3 linked regions of the Drosophila melanogaster genome follow. The protein of the gene in region 1 purifies or fractionates together with the protein of each later gene. This does not show direct contact. Each region holds a gene or a part of one and is shown in the gene's direction. Other genes may lie near its edges.

Region 1 (5,403 bases):
CGACTATGGCCGGTTTAAGCCCGGTCCCAAACAGCTGGAAGGTGTCCAATTTCTGCTGGCCCATGCAGTGGCCAATCGAAATATTGATGTGGACTACAAACTAGTGGCGCAAAATCAGGTATAATTACTTACTATATATCTGGCATATCTGGTGACATAATAATTTAATTGAATATTTTCCAGACTAAGGTGACCAGAAGCCCGGGTGCATATGTGTATCAAGAAATCCGGAACTGGCCGCATTTCTACGGCTGCGGAATGGACGAAGCACCGGCCTGCGGCATCGAATTGGGCATGAAAACGGAATCGTGGGACGCCAAGCAATAGCTACAGACTTTTCTACCACCTAAGTGTAACCAAGCACAAACTGTATTTTAATACATATACTAAGGCGAATGGAGCTTTCTTTTAATCGGTTATGCTGGCTTCGAAACCAAAGTAAACCGGTTGGGAGCAAGCGGTTTATTTATAGTAATATATATATATATAGTGTCTCTCTTCCTCTCTGGAGCTCTGTTTAGTTTTACTGTCGCTCAAAAAGCTGGAAATTCCCAAGCCGCAGTCAACCTCTATCAGTGCCAATACCAGTACCCCTTTTATTCCCTCATAGACTTTAACACTCATCGATCTTGTGTGTGTCTGTGTGTGTGTGTAAATATATGAGAGCCTTTGTGCGCCAGTACAACATCATTATCGGTAGCTTCACTTCACTTCACTTATATAGACGATGTTGTGATCGCTGTGGCTGCCTTTGTCATTTATCTGCCTTTCAACGTGAATATATGTACAATGATAATAATGATGTTTTATTTTTGTTATCATATGGAGTCATTACAATCCTATTTACAGGAAGACTGGTAATAGCAGAGAAATATATTAAAAATGAAATGGATATTTGCCAATAAGATCTGCTATCATCACCGACCTTCAGTTCAAAGCCCTCAACAGAGAAGTACGTTCGATGATTTATATTGGTAAAAAAAAAAAGAAACTCCTTCGAAATGTTTATGTTTTTAACTTGCGCATCAAATGATGAGCTGAAACTATGACGACATGGAAAGCTAATAAACTAGTGGGTGTGCCTTTTAACCCTCTTTTCATCAATGACCTAAAGTCCAACCTGCCCAAAAGAGTGACGTACATACATTCATTGACTAATTAATCTCACGGCGCCTTAAAAAAAAAATTATACCTACAACGCGGAACGAATTTTTGGCCAAAACAATGACGAGAGTACGGCACGTGTAAAAACCAAAAAGAAGAAGAAAAAAACACATATGCGAAGAGGGAACCAAAAAAGTAAAAATAATTAATAATAATTAAGGTAAGAAAATATGTGGAGGTAGGTATATTAAAATAGCTATGGTGATTGATTTCGCAACCGTTGTAAAGAAATTATTATCTGCTTCATTGGAAATGATTTACAATAATTACTGGCATTTTTCGCAATAAAATAATGGGTCAACAAAGAATAGATTGCCTGGCTACAAAAGGCATAAATCATTAGATGTTTCGGTGTAGAACTTTAACTGCAATAAAATAATACATTTTAAAGGCCACTCAACAAGCTTATCAGTAAGTCAGGAACACTGAGAGAAAAAATATTATAAATAGTCTACAACTATTTCGATTAAAGCTCGTTGCGCTTTCCACTTATAATTATATTTTTATTTTTCTTTTCTGTAAGCGTGTTCGGAATTCGTTTCGCCAATTTGTTGCTCTTTACGTTTTATCCATCAACAGTTTCCCGGCGCCCTTTTCAGACTATCAGAGATCGCCGAACCGCCGTTCGCCTATAATTACATTAAATATTTTTCAACACAAGTACAATGGGTCAAGCTGGAATTGGAAGAGAAAAAAAAGAGCTATGTACACATGTACATATGTATACATATATATATATATAACTGGCCTGTACCACAAAGTGAAATAGCCAAAAACCGATTGCGGGCCGCAAAACAAAACAATTCTCGGAAATGGTAGCGCAATTTAAAATGTTCACATTTTTGCCCACACTGCAATGTCTGTAAGTGTTTTGGTAGACGGGAGAGAGCCGGAGATTTGTGTTGTTTATTGGTTGAATAAATAAAAAATATATATATTTATATACATACATATGTACATATATAATACGTATACGCCGATTTGTCTGTGTCGATGTCGGTGCGGACGACTAAACAACTAAACAAAAACAAACAGTCATCGTCAGGTGGGAGAAGTTGGAGAGACCATTCTCGAGCCACGGGGCGTAGCTGGAGGTATCGTTATAAATTTGACTAATATCTGGAAGATTTATAAAAAAAAACCCGAAATCGAGAACAGGTTCCGCGACTTAATGACGCTCGGAAAAACCGAAATATGCAGCTCGCCAGATGCAGTTATCGGAATTCTTTCGGTTTCTTGGGATCACTCGCTTTTCGTTTAAACCAGTTTCGATTGAGAAAAAGTTGTACCGCTATCATAAGTTATTAAAATGTACAGTTTTTTTTAAGGAAAATTTAAATCATTGCATTTTATTGGTTAACGCTAGATTACAAAAAGGATAGAAAATACAACAGAACGCGTTCATATTATGTAATATGTAAACACTATATGTTAAAAAATTATATTTTCTAAAACGATTTAGAAGTTTTTTGGAACAAGGCTTTTGAGTTGCACTCTTAAGATCTTTTGAGAAATCACTTATTAAAATGCAAATCGGTAACAAGTTGGACTGCCTGAAAATCGGACTCAAATTAAACAACTTTGGTTAAATAAACGCAAAAACGCCGACCGCTCTCTCCCCATCATTCTCTTTGTTTTTTTTTTCTCAGCGATCTGCTCTCCCTCACACACGCTCCCCACACGCTGCCATATCAGACGCTCCAGCTTTTCAGGCCGCTGCGATTTGATCGCCGCTCAGTTGATCAGAGTCACTCGAACGCGCCGCTGCTCAACGATTCGAAATTGGCGCGAAACGGTATAAAAAGTTCGACTTACAAATTGGCTATATAGTATAGACGCTCAAATATCAAACGAGCTGCAACGGTTTTCGTCGGCAATTTAAAGTGCGTAACGATATGCAAAGTGTTAATATAGAATAGAATATAGAGTGATTATATAGAATATTACACACCGCAAAATAATCATAATCCTATTATATGACTAGTGACAAATAATTGAGCAATTATATCGATATTTAAGTGCAAACTAGTTTGTTTCTCCAATCGTTTTATGTTCCAGGAATGTTAATTAGCCTTTCGAAACACGAAAGGAAGTGAAAGAAATTCGTGGAAGTGAAAAAGAAAACATGCTATCGAAACATCGATCGAAAATCAATTAATTTGCACATAGGCCATATTTAATGATAATTTTGAAAACACGTAAAACATCAGAGTTGTTAATTATTATCGATTCTCCAAACAGAATACAACCAAAACAAAGAGCACCCATATTGTGATGATCTGTGCGTGTATTAGTGACAATGGCCGCCGCTCCCGTGCACGTGTATTGGTGCGCTCGGTAAACTCAAAATGCCATTCCGTTTCTCATTTGTAGCCGTTGTCGTTATTCGGTGTATTCCATTTGGTGTTATCTCAAAAGCGTGCTCTGTGCCAACTCTCTAGAACATCGATTCTAAAGTATAAAGTCGCTACCCTCCAAGGCACCCTTTCAATTCTATCGAGTTTATCACAATTCGCGGAATTCTTTAAAATAGAGTTACTGTTTTGAAATTGGCACACCTCTTCGGAAACCTTCGTATCTACGTATCATCAAGACGTCACGGCATATGCCCATAATGATCTTTCAGCCTTTTGAAGACGTCACTCGTGGCTTTCGAATATCCAAAATTAAGCATAACATGCATATGTATGGGTAACAACTACTACTTTTGTGTTTCTCGGAATCCACTTAAGTAAATAGACTACGTCAATGATTATAGCTAATTTGCATAAGCCTTGCATTCGTGCGAGCTTACTGACCAACTATTTGAATCGAATTTGACGAGTATACAATATAAGTCAACTGTATACATACACATATATTCCAGCACTATTCAATACCCTTATATCTTAATTATACAAACTTCACTGCCATACAACAGCAGCAACGTTTTTTATTCGCGTTTTAAAAACTCTGTTGGCAATCGAGCTTATCAACAATCGTGTATACATGAACTAAAAGCGTTGATTGTACTTATAAATCATATTGCAACTGAACGATCTAATGGATTGTGATAACAATAAAATCACTTTTATAAAGCATGTGTAATTGAAAAGTATTAAAGAACTGACGAAATATTTTTCTAAATTGTGTGTGTTATCCAAACCGTTTAATAATGCTCAAAGCTATCAAATAAATATCACTTAGCTTATCGCATAATATAATATCAGCAATACATTGTTAAAATATATACATATATTTATCAATGTTCTAAAAACACTTGCACACAAGGGAATTATGTGGTTTTATCAAAAATAAAAAAATCAGTGCACCATAAAGCCAAAGTGCCTCCCCAAAGTTAAGCCCACTTTAGCCCAATTCAAACAAAAAATTTCTTCGAAATTTGACAACGTTTGACTAGCTTATTATCATCAAGTTAACCGGGACCAACAAAAAAAAAAACGTATACTTATTTGCAGATGCTCATGATGTGATGTTTGCCGAGAGCTGTGCCTAGTCAGCCGTTTTGCCATACGAAAAATAATGTACCGCCCAATCTGCTAAATAGGAAGGCTAACACATAACGCTCAGAGATCCAGAGAAAATATCAATCTGGTTACGTGACTGTCACGATAGTTCGACATGCCTTTTAGCAATGAAACGGAAATGAGCCAATGTTCCAATGCGAAACGTAGAGTAAACGATCCGTTGACTGGACCAAAAAACTGCAGTACTTCGTCCACAGACTCGGGCGTTATACTAAACGATAATGTGGCGGCATTCCGGCCGGAGAAGGAGACCAAAGATCGGGGGACGGGCGAAGGGCAGTTCCAATCGAAATCGGAAGAGAAAACGGAATCCAAGCGTATCAGCGTTGAGCACACTGTCAATATAACAACGGAAAATGTTGGAAAGACATCTTCGCCGGCGGTTTCCATACGGAGTACCACAATTTCCGTTGTGTCCATCGATGATAATGCCATCGACTCGAGTAGTATTGATAGTGATTCGGAGGCCGAAGCGGAGGATTATACGGTCCAGAAGCTGGGTCACCAGGTCACCTACCCGCCCAACAGTTCACACCTGCGCGACCTTAACCAGGGTCTAACGGTGATCAGTCGCCATGTGGCGCCAGGTGAGGCGGCAGTACCACCACCCAATCCCCTGGAAGCTGGCATTGTGGCCAAGCAAATACTGAACGGTAATCTGGCCGTGGCCACGCCCACATCGCCGGCGGGCGGTGCCACGCAGGGTATTGGC
Region 2 (5,403 bases), on another chromosome or scaffold:
CCTTACCGATGATGTGCTTGTAGTACGAAGGATTAACCGTCATCACCTCGAATGTGAAGTTCTCCTCGTAGTTTTTGATGATTTCGGACAAGTAGGCTACAGCCCTGTCAACGTTCTCGGGATCTCCCTCCAGCTTGATCTTGTCTTCCAGGCAATTCACGTTCACGTTGGGGCAGTCCTCCTCCAGCTGCTTCATGTTGGCCCCCTTGCGACCGATCACATACTTGTGGATCCAATGTGCCGCATTGATCTCCACAGACTTGACCGAGTTGGACTTTTGGTAGACAACGGTTAGGGCATTTCCCAAAGCCACTTGCGGCCCACGCAAAGTGATCGTCTCCGAGGGGGAGTCATTGGGAGGCATCTCTACAGACACACCGGTCAACTGCAGAATCTCGGCGATGGTGGAGCCCTTCGGACCAATGACATATCGGTGCTTGGGCTTAGCTACCTCCACACTGACGGTAGAGCACTTCTTTTCCATATCCTTGTAAATGGCCTCCACCTTGGCCTTTGCCGCTGCGACCGCGTCCTTCTCGCCCGAGATGACGATCTCGTCCTTCTGAACCTGCTGCGGCGGCACGTTGATCCTAGCGCCGGTCTCCTCCTGCAGCTTATTTAGGTTCTCGCTGTAGGGGCCCACGATGAAGGGATGGTAAACTTTGGGCACCGTGATGCGGTCCGATGACTTCTTGTACTGCTCGGCTGACAGCTGACGGATCTCCTGCTCGGCCTGGGCAATACCCTCCTTGGTTCCGGCAATCGTGATAAACTCGCTCTCATCGCTCTGGCTGGGGATGTTGATGCGCGTCGCAGTAACACGCTCGATTTCGCGCAGCCGTTGGCCACCCTTGCCGAGGATGACGCGGAAGTGCTCCCGAGGAACGGTCACCTGCCGACTGGCCTGAGTGGAGAAGCCCATAAGAATCTTACGGCGGGCATCGAGCAGCTCGCTCTGCTTGCCCTTAATCAGGAAGGTCAGCGACTGGTTCTTGCCGCTCACAATCTCGATCTGGGCTCCGGTCTCCTTGGTGATCTGCTGGCAAATACGCTTCGACTCGCCTTCGCCAAACTTCTCCGACTCCGTGGACTTGCGCTCCTTGCAGGGAACATGCACAATCTGTTACAAAAAAAATTGAAATCCATAGAATCAGAACCAAATCAATGTATGTCTTTTTCGAGCTTACATGAGTTTTTTGGGAACTCGTCACACGAGCTAGAGTCGAACCGGAAGCTCCGGATTGCGATTGAGCCGAAGTGTTGGCCGGCAGGGCCGGAAACAGGTCGTCGTAGCTAAAGGCGGGTGTGGCATTGCCAGTTCCGCCGCTAGTGGTACTAGTGGGCGTGGCCACTGAAGTTGGCGAGGATGGTTGCTGCTCGTTGGCCACCTGCTCTTGGCCATTAATGAGAGCGATGGGCTGCTGCTCGATGGTAGTTGCTGCATGATGATTTTGGTTAACAATTGCTTGATAATATTTAGCCTTCGAAGAACTCACCGTTGTTAGTTTCCTCCATCACTGCTGCTGCTTGCATTACTTAAAAAAAGAGAAAAGTCCTTTTTCGTTCCAAGTCGTTTACAGTACACTGAAATTGAAAAGTAGAAGATATCTTATCAAGTGCATTAAAACGTTTACATCATACTGGACCCTATAAATGAACCTTGTTTATCAGCCAGCGATAAAGCAAACAACCAGGAAGGAAAAATTTCTAGGGGATTATCGAAGTGCTGGTCGATCAATCAAAGAACAAATAGTTAAATGGCATTCTTATTTTGGCAAACATGGATTAAAATAGGCCCGTTTAGCTACAGTTTTCATCTGTTTCTGTTGTCAGTCGCCCGCAGACTTACCAAAATCGCAGATAGTTGATAAGTGCGACCTCCGAGGACCCGCATTTGGCTGCGACCAACTGATAAGGAACTACATAAGTACATACACACTTTAGGACCGCTTGGCTACAGTAAACAAATTAGTACAAAGATAATTCATTGGATATGCGGCGTGACTTATGTACAGGAAATCTAACAAGTTGCGTTACTATTGCTTTCTTATAAAAACGTCAAAAGTTTGCAATTTTTTGTTTGCTGTTTTCCATTTCTTCTTAATTTGTGAATGGAAGAAATTTCCAATAACATCCAATACTACATTTAATAAAATATCTATTAAATTAGATCATAAATTATTCATTGAATTCACCTCTGTAGCTTATATTCGTAAAGTTTCCTTCGACTGAATGCAGAATCATTCCGGGAAACCATGTTGCATGCCCCACTGTAAACAGTGCGTGTCCAAAGGGGGTGCATGAAATGGATTTTCTGGCGTTGATAAACCGAAATAGTCTCTTTTCAAACGAGCTTTCTGCACCACAGCCTGAAACTAAGGCCACGTAGTGCTTGGATCTGCGAGATGAGTGCTCGACACAACTCTCCGCTTTTCGGTGGTGATAAGTGGACGCGGCCGATGGGCCACGCAGGCAGATTCCGGGGCTGAGTGATAACTATCGGCCGTTCTGGCTGATAAGCTCAGTCGTCCGATTGCCACCAAGATATTGTGGTACGTACACACACAAACACACAATGCTACAAGTGCGCTTTCCGAAATTTAGGCTGCTATCAGTCGGATTTCGATTGGGTGAAAGGTTGGGGCCTCGCGAATGAGAAAGAGAGATCTCAGCCGAGGAGCAGCAGAGACCATGCACTTGTTCGACCAAAGCTGTTTTCTAAATCCATGCCCAACGAGTTTTCGTAGCCTACATTTTCCTCTCTACCGAAAGAACAACAAAGATATGTCTGTCTCCTCTCTGTTAGTTGTGTCTTTGTATGTGCGGACAGCGGCGGTGGCAGGGTATGTGTAAAGGGGGCCTCTTACTTTTAAATCATACGGTTTTGTAAATTTCAATGAAAGCTTAATACATTTATATATTACAGATAACAATGACAACTGCAAGTGACACCAGATCATTATCCCTAACATTTAATAATAGTTTTTCATTTCAGAATTAATTTCCCAAAAAAATAATCACCTAACGACGAATCTGTTTGTGCTCATGAAAAATGTGTCAAATACAGAGACAAGAGCACGAGAGCGACAGGAACAGGGAGAGGAGAGAGCGAGAGCTTGACGAAGTAACTTAACGGAGCAGGGGAGCAGCTCCATATAAAACCGGATGATAGCCGGCAACTACAACAAAACGATCGAGCAGTGCCAGTGGTGTATTGTATGCATGTGAGTGTGCTGTGCCTGTGTGCCTGCACATTTCTGTGTCGCTCTTTTTCTTCTTCGGGAATACGGTTGTGTGTGTGTGTTGCCACCTTTCGAGAAGGCACAGGTAAAAAACGAAAACAAGCAACATACCTACATAGCAAATACCATCGTTCATACGTTCGTATGTGACGCCTGCAGCGACGCTGACGTCGACAAATGAAGACAAAGCACAATAACAATGCGCTAAAGTTCAGCTTTAAACAAAAAACCAAAAAAAAAAAAAACATATATACAAAATTGGTATGCACATATCGGATGGATTCTTGTTTCTGTAATTTCGATACAAAGATCCCAAAGACCAAAAAAAGAAAAGCTTGACGTAGTCAGTTTTAGGCATGAAACCGTTAACTTGGACGACATTTGTTGTCTTTTTTTTGGCAAAACACTTGTGTAAAATGTTAAACTATGCAAATTAACTCTAGGCAAAGGTTGTTCAACTTACGGTACTGTAAAATCCAAAAAATCCGGCCGAGTTTACTCTCCTTTGACCAAATCCAGTTTGATAACTTGGGTGTCTGCTGGAAAAGCCGAAAAACAATTGCTTAAAATTAATGCAATTAGCGGATGCAGAAGATCGGATCGTGGCATCACCAGGATGAATGCCCTACAAATCATTTAGTCAGTCATTCTGCGTTATGCACATCCCCAATAGAAAGTCTAATGTTATTTGTCGCAGAGAGCGCGTTGTTGCAGAGAGCACGGTGAAGGAAGGGGAGGGGGGCAGCATATGCGGGCCACTTATTGGACAATTGTTTTTGTGGCAGCAGCGGAGGCAAAATTGGAGCAGCGCGTGGGCGTGTTTGTGTGCGTCTGTGTGTGTGTGTGAGAGTATGGAAATGCGGAAATCAGTGCCGTATGCTTTCCAGGTGAAAGGTTGTGTGGATCCTCTTTTCCGGCACGGGGCGGGGCCTTAACTCTGCCTCCCCCTCTCGAAAAATAGGAAAATTAAAGTAAAAAAAAATAAAAGGCAGCACGCGCGCCTTCCAATCGGACAAATATGCTTATATATGCACGCTCACACGTATGCACGGGATTTTACGTCCCTATGTGAGCGTGTGGGTCGTCGACGTCGCCGACTTTTGTGACTGTGTGGGTGAGCGCGAGTGCGCCGTCCGTGTGTATTATCAACCATTGAAAAACACGTTGTTTTTCGCCGACCGCACACAAATTTGAAGAAAAATTAGCGGCCCGAATTTTCTTTCATCGTTTTTTTTAATTCGCCACTGCCGTCTCTTCTTCTTCTGCTTGCTCTGCCGTCGCCGCCCCACCGCTGCCGGCCCTTTATAACTGTAAATCCGTGCACTCTCTTTCGCTCGCCGCAACTTATGCAATTCCGGCTGCAATTATACCGCCGCACGGATCACCGAGCAATGTGAGTTGATTTTCGCACTGGAATCTTGGTAAATTCACACCCAGACTTTCTATTGGAAGGCAGAACGCACGGACGCGGAACTCAACGTTACCGACTCCAAGTAAAATGTGAATGAACATGAGCGAACGTGGCAAATAGAGATGGGCGATACGCCGCAGCGGGTGCAGGGTTGTCGCTCTTACCAATCGCAAGCGCGAACTGTCAAATCGAACTATCGACTATTGGGTCTATTACCATGGCCTTCTTTTGGGGATTTTCAAAAATTAATTAAAGAATTATTCAATAGTAACAATAAAAAAAATATATTAAAAAAAAACTTAGACAACAAACACCAGTTTTTAAAGATGATAATCGTTATTATGGGGGTTTCCTTATATGCAAATTAATAAAGATTAGATATAAATGCTTAAATTTTTTCCTTATATGCACATAATGATTAAGAATTAAAATTCAAATGTTAAGTTTTGTATGTTAGTCAAATATAATTGATTTTTTCAATCAGACGGAAAAGACAAGAAATGCTATTTAGTTGAATTTCTTAATAAAACTAAAAATTTTTAGTTGTAAGTGAAATATCGGTTGATAATCGGCTCGGAATATCGATAGTCAGGTCCATCCTTGGCCTACCACCACCAAATTGAAAAAGAGCAAAGAAACACAAAGGCAAAAAACTCCCCAATCTGTGGAATTTCCGGAAGCGAGAGCACATTCAAAGCTACCAGTTATCAGCGAGCAGCATGTCAAAGCTCAGGAACCTGTTGCCCACAA
Region 3 (5,024 bases), 1.7 Mb from region 1:
TGATTATATTTTATTTATGACTTAGAGCATTTGGCTTCCTCTACGTAAGTAAATAGCATAACATAGCTATTAAACAAAAAACATCCATTCGCGATTTGGAAATGCAACATGAACTGCCAGCCCAAAATGATTGCGTTCAACCGACTGAATCTATTTGTATAACATATTTAGCTTAAATTTCAATCAAGTTTTAAGAGAAAGTTCGAAGAAACTTTAAGGTTAAGGTCCTGAATTCAGGATGTGCATATTCATAGCCGGGAACTTTATTCATTAGCGAATAAGACGGCAGCGCCTGAGAAAATATCAGGACACAAGTTGCGCGACTCGTAAACGAAATAAGTTTTCGTTTTCTGCTCGAGTTCTTGTTATGGAATTTAAGCAAGTTGTCATAAAAATGTCGCCTCCTAGTCCGCTCCCGTTCGCCCAATCTGACACGCCCCCCAATTTCGAAATTCGGTGGGTGGTGGTGGTGTGTGGGGAGCCGGCGGTGGAAGGCAGAAGGAGGTGTCAATCCGCAGTGCAAAGTTACTCGAAATCCAAATCCACACTGTGGTTGCAGTTGCAGGCAACTTTTGCTCTTTCCTGTTTCGTGGAAAAGCCTTGGGGGGGCGGTCGACTGGGGGAAATGGGGGGCGTGGCAGGCAGCAGATGTTGCAGAATTGCGTGCAAATTGTTGCTGTTGTTAGCCACAACTTTCCGGGCTTGCACGATTGACACCTTTTGGGAATTTGCGACAGCTTTAACGGAGCCTGCAGTTTAATTTGTTTGCTGTCCAGAAATGGAAGGCCTACTCTTCATCATCTTGCAACATCATAATCACCATCACCATCGTCAACATCATGGAATCTCCACGTTTTCCCTGCAATTTAATAGATGGCTTTGTATGCCAACGACAGTGGGTAAAATGGAAAATGGAAAAGGAAAATGCAAAAGGCGGGAAAGCGAAGGAAAACTAAACGTGCCCAATGCGCGATTTCAGTGAATTCGCATAAAAACTTTCGCCCTAAACTTGTGCAAGTTCTTTTAATTTTAATTAAACGGATGAGCAGCAATTAGCGAAATAAATCTGACAATTTTGCAAATGAGCCAACTTGGCGCCCCAAAAATTGCATCCAAATGCGGGACAGATTAAATTGAGACTATGGAAGTGGCGAAAAAAATATGTTTTTCTCTGCAGGACATTGGAAAACTCCTACTAATAAAAAAAAAACAATTCGAATAACCAAACAACACGGATTTTTTGAGGGAGCCGATTTGCGGAGGGGTGCTCCCAACTCAGAACTCACTTAAATTCAAGTTAACGGCGAGTTTTTCCCGCCACCAGCTGGTTTTTCCAGCCGCGCATAGTTTTGGCTTCGGTTTTTGGTTTTAGCCCGGCTTTTTCGGGTTTTCTGGATGTTGCGGCTTAGCTCTCCCCACCACTCTCCCCTCAACTCTCATCCCTTTTCCATCGCATTTTATATTCATTTTGGCTTTTAATTGAGGGCGCTTACTTGCATTTTCGTTGTCACTTTGCGACTTCACTTCCTCATCACGCCCTTTTTTGGGGGCTTAATGGCCTGCACTCCGCTTTGTTTTTTGCAGTTTTTGCATTTAATTGCAAAAGTTTTTTAATTAAATCACTGCCTAGAACATCTGTGTCAAGTTGAGGTTTCTGTGGGCTCGTATTAACTGGCATAAAATAGGGATAAATCGGGGGGCCTCAATACATTTAAGGGAAATACGCGGTATAAAGTGTACCATTAGATAGTGGATGTTCAGATTGAAATTGCAATATAAAGTTGTACATGTACATTAGTGTACACAACACACTAAATTATGCGTACAATTATTTTCAAACCAATTATTTTAATTAGGTAAAAAATTAAAACTTACTTACCTTACTTTCTCTGTATTTATACATATTAATCATATTTATCTTTTAAGAATACAGGCTTCCTGTATAAGCATTTCACTATTTTTATACATACATACTTATGTATGCATGTACATACATATGTATGTACATGTATATATCAAACACACACAAAACACATAAAGAAAAAACAAAAAAAAAAAAATAATAATAACCGAAACCAAAGCTTTGCTTTATTCATTCATTCGCTATTAAGTAGTATTTCACAATTGTTTTAAGCTGACCTATGTATGTAAAAAATCATTCTACGTTGCCGTTGTGTAGAATCTAACTATTAAAATAACTGTTTAAAGTTAGTTTAATAAGTAAAGGAGGTAATAGTATACAAACAGAACGTACTTCCGCGCACACTAAAAAAACAGAACTGCTGCAAAAGAAGAGACCGAAATATATTCGATTAAAGAAAGCAAGACGAAATAACGGCACTTGCGCGAAAGCACGCTCTTTCTTTGGTTATGACTCACAATTCGGCGAGTAATTCGATCGCATCAAACACTTACGTTTGTTTACAGAGAGGCAATTGATTACAGTTAGTTCTTGCTCGAAGGCAGGCTTACAAGCTAGAAATAGCGGCACTTGCGCGAATGCTCACTTTTTCGGCTTCTTTTCTATTGTCGATATTACACGCAATTCAACGCTTAATTCGATCGCATTAAAAGAAATCAGTTATTGAAACGCGTAAAAATAGTGCGGTTTAATTATAGTTTGTGTCAGATTGGGATTATAACTAAATAAATACGAGTGTTCCGGTAAAATTAATATTACATCCCGCCAAAGAAAAACATCAAATCAACATGCTGTAAAAATGCTCAATCTGCTGATTCGCGAGTGTTAGTGTAAAATAAGTAAGAACTATGAAATAATCTAAAGCAGCAAATTTTTATTTAATAATTCACAAGAACGTGGTAAGTGATTTAAGTTCTATGTACATTTTACACTTTTTATTACATATATGTCCCCCTTGTGGTGGCCTTGTAGTTTTTAGGGGAATTTCGCTTGGCAAATTTTACCCATTTAGAAAAATTCTGAGAGAACGATATATTGCTATGCTAGTTGTTCTTATAATCGTTACCCCCTGTCAATTATCTATCACTGGCAAGAAAAATCCCCCTCATATATGTATGATACATTCATTTATATGGGGTCGGATGACTATCTCCTTGGGGGCACTCCCCTTATCAGCGGCAATAGGTGCCGCAGCCCATAAGATCCCAACCCAGTCAGTTGACAGACACGCAAGTGGAATGACTTGGATCGGTTTGCTCATCGTTGGCCTCACAGCAATCGCTGTCCAGGGGGAAGTACCGATCGTGACGAGGGCCGAGTGGAATGCCAAACCGCCGAACGGAGCCATAGACAGCATGGAAACTCCCTTGCCACGTGCTGTGATCGCCCATACAGCTGGAGGAGCTTGTGCGGATGATGTTACATGCTCCCAGCACATGCAAAATCTGCAAAACTTCCAGATGTCCAAGCAAAAGTTCTCGGACATTGGCTACCACTATCTGATCGGCGGTAATGGCAAGGTATACGAAGGCAGAAGTCCAAGCCAGAGAGGAGCCTTTGCCGGTCCCAATAACGATGGTTCCCTGGGCATTGCGTTTATTGGTAACTTCGAAGAACGGGCGCCCAACAAGGAGGCCTTGGATGCCGCCAAGGAGCTGCTGGAGCAGGCTGTCAAACAGGCTCAGCTGGTGGAGGGCTATAAGTTACTGGGCCATCGTCAAGTCAGTGCTACCAAGAGTCCTGGAGAAGCACTCTACGCTCTGATACAGCAGTGGCCCAACTGGTCCGAAGAAATGTGAAATATAGAGTGTGCATTGCATAAGGTTTCGACACGTAAAGACCACTCCTTACACATTTATTTGTAAATATAATTATGTATAATTTGTTTTTTTTTTTTTTGCTTAAATACGAATACTAAAATTTTAATTTTGTTGATCTGTTTCCGATGTACTTCTTCGACTTCGCACATTTTTGTCAGCTGCCGCTTTTTTTTTTTTTTACTTTTTTGTTTGTTGCCAGACCCGTTTAATAAGCAGGCCGCTCCCCAGGAGCAGTGCACTGGGCCACAATAGAGATTTGAGACATCACATAGCATCATTCACCGAACCGGAACTTCCGCAAGAAACTAAGCTAACTATACAGAACCCTAGATGAAGCACGGAACGCAGATGGAACGAACGTGAACATAGTCGTAGTCGTAATGGTATGCAGTAGATAATGCGCCAAACGAGAGAGGTAAACAAAAGTCGGCAACGTGGCAACAGATGCTGTTACAGATTACAGATTTAGAAAATATAAAACAAGGAACTATACAAAATTCGTAAAGTACTTAGGTAAATTGCACTAATATAAACTCCCATTTGAACTGCCGCTCGCACTGTCTGTACTGCCGACAATGCTGCCATTTCCGCTCATATTACCATTGCCAATTCCTATGCCAATACCGCTTCCGTTTCCGCTCTGTTGGGCAAAGTCCAGCTGGAGCAGCCAGTTCCTCTTAGCCAGACCTTCGGGCGTCTCGCCACGCTGCGTACACAGCGGCTGGAAGCAGGTGGTCAGTCCAACGCTGGGCGTGAACTCCGCCCGTTCGCGTAACTCCTCCTCGGTGGCCAGCATGATGCAATCGTCGTCAATTTCATCGCTATCGACACTGTAGGCCAGCTGCTGCTGCTCTGCCCTTTGCTGCACGATGCTGTCGCTGGTGCGCCGAAATGAGTCGTCCGTCTTGCGCAGGAAATTGTACAGCGCCACACAGCCGAGCACCACTTCGCGGATGTGCTTGTCACTGATGCGCAGCGGCTGCGCCAGAATGGGGAACATGTTACACAGTATCCGCATCGTTTGATCCGCATGGGCATTGACCTGCTCCAGGGCCTCCAGTACGGCCAGATCCTTGGGCAGGTTGCGTGTGGTCACCAGATACGAGGTGGCAGGCAGTACCGAATCGCCAGCAAAGTAATAGCCCTGTCGGTCCATCTCCGCCGACTGTTGTTCCTCCAGAGCGTGCATCTTGTGCCTAATCAGCTCGATGGCACTGGTCTGGTTATAGATGTCATTGGGTCGGCTGCTCGCCGCCCTTTCCACCCTTGCGTACTGGAAATTG

The links.
Region 2: the proteins of PGRP-LC (region 1) and imd purify together in Drosophila melanogaster (affinity purification with western blotting, with the first as the bait; 3 studies listed by BioGRID). This does not show direct contact.
Region 3: the proteins of PGRP-LC (region 1) and PGRP-SD purify together in Drosophila melanogaster (affinity purification with western blotting, with the first as the bait; one study listed by BioGRID). This does not show direct contact.

What each region holds. Positions count from the first base shown.
Region 1 is NT_037436.4:9,337,543-9,342,945, forward strand, and holds the start of PGRP-LC (peptidoglycan recognition protein LC), read left to right. Parts: upstream 1-2,895; 5' UTR 2,896-3,047; intron 3,048-4,622; 5' UTR 4,623-4,785; coding exon 4,786-5,403. Other genes in the region: PGRP-LA (peptidoglycan recognition protein LA), read left to right, coding at 1-118, 184-327. UniProt on the Drosophila melanogaster protein: Major activator of the imd/Relish pathway and is likely to encode a pattern recognition molecule for the humoral immune response. Required for Relish processing and nuclear translocation following proteolytic cleavage.
Region 2 is NT_033778.4:18,411,380-18,416,782, reverse strand, and holds the start of imd (immune deficiency), read left to right. Parts: upstream 1-3,183; 5' UTR 3,184-3,327; intron 3,328-3,353; exon of another isoform or gene 3,354-3,457; intron 3,458-3,705; exon of another isoform or gene 3,706-3,935; intron 3,936-4,426; exon of another isoform or gene 4,427-4,756; intron 4,757-5,196; 5' UTR 5,197-5,372; coding exon 5,373-5,403. Other genes in the region: Dp1 (Dodeca-satellite-binding protein 1), read right to left, coding at 1-1,120, 1,188-1,438, 1,497-1,533.
Region 3 is NT_037436.4:7,648,046-7,653,069, forward strand, and holds PGRP-SD (peptidoglycan recognition protein SD), read left to right. Parts: upstream 1-3,134; 5' UTR 3,135-3,159; coding exon 3,160-3,720; 3' UTR 3,721-3,855; downstream 3,856-5,024. Other genes in the region: CG7492 (uncharacterized protein), read right to left, coding at 4,265-5,024. UniProt on the Drosophila melanogaster protein: Peptidoglycan-recognition protein that plays a key role in innate immunity by binding to peptidoglycans (PGN) of Gram-positive bacteria and activating the Toll pathway. Has no activity against on Gram-negative bacteria and fungi.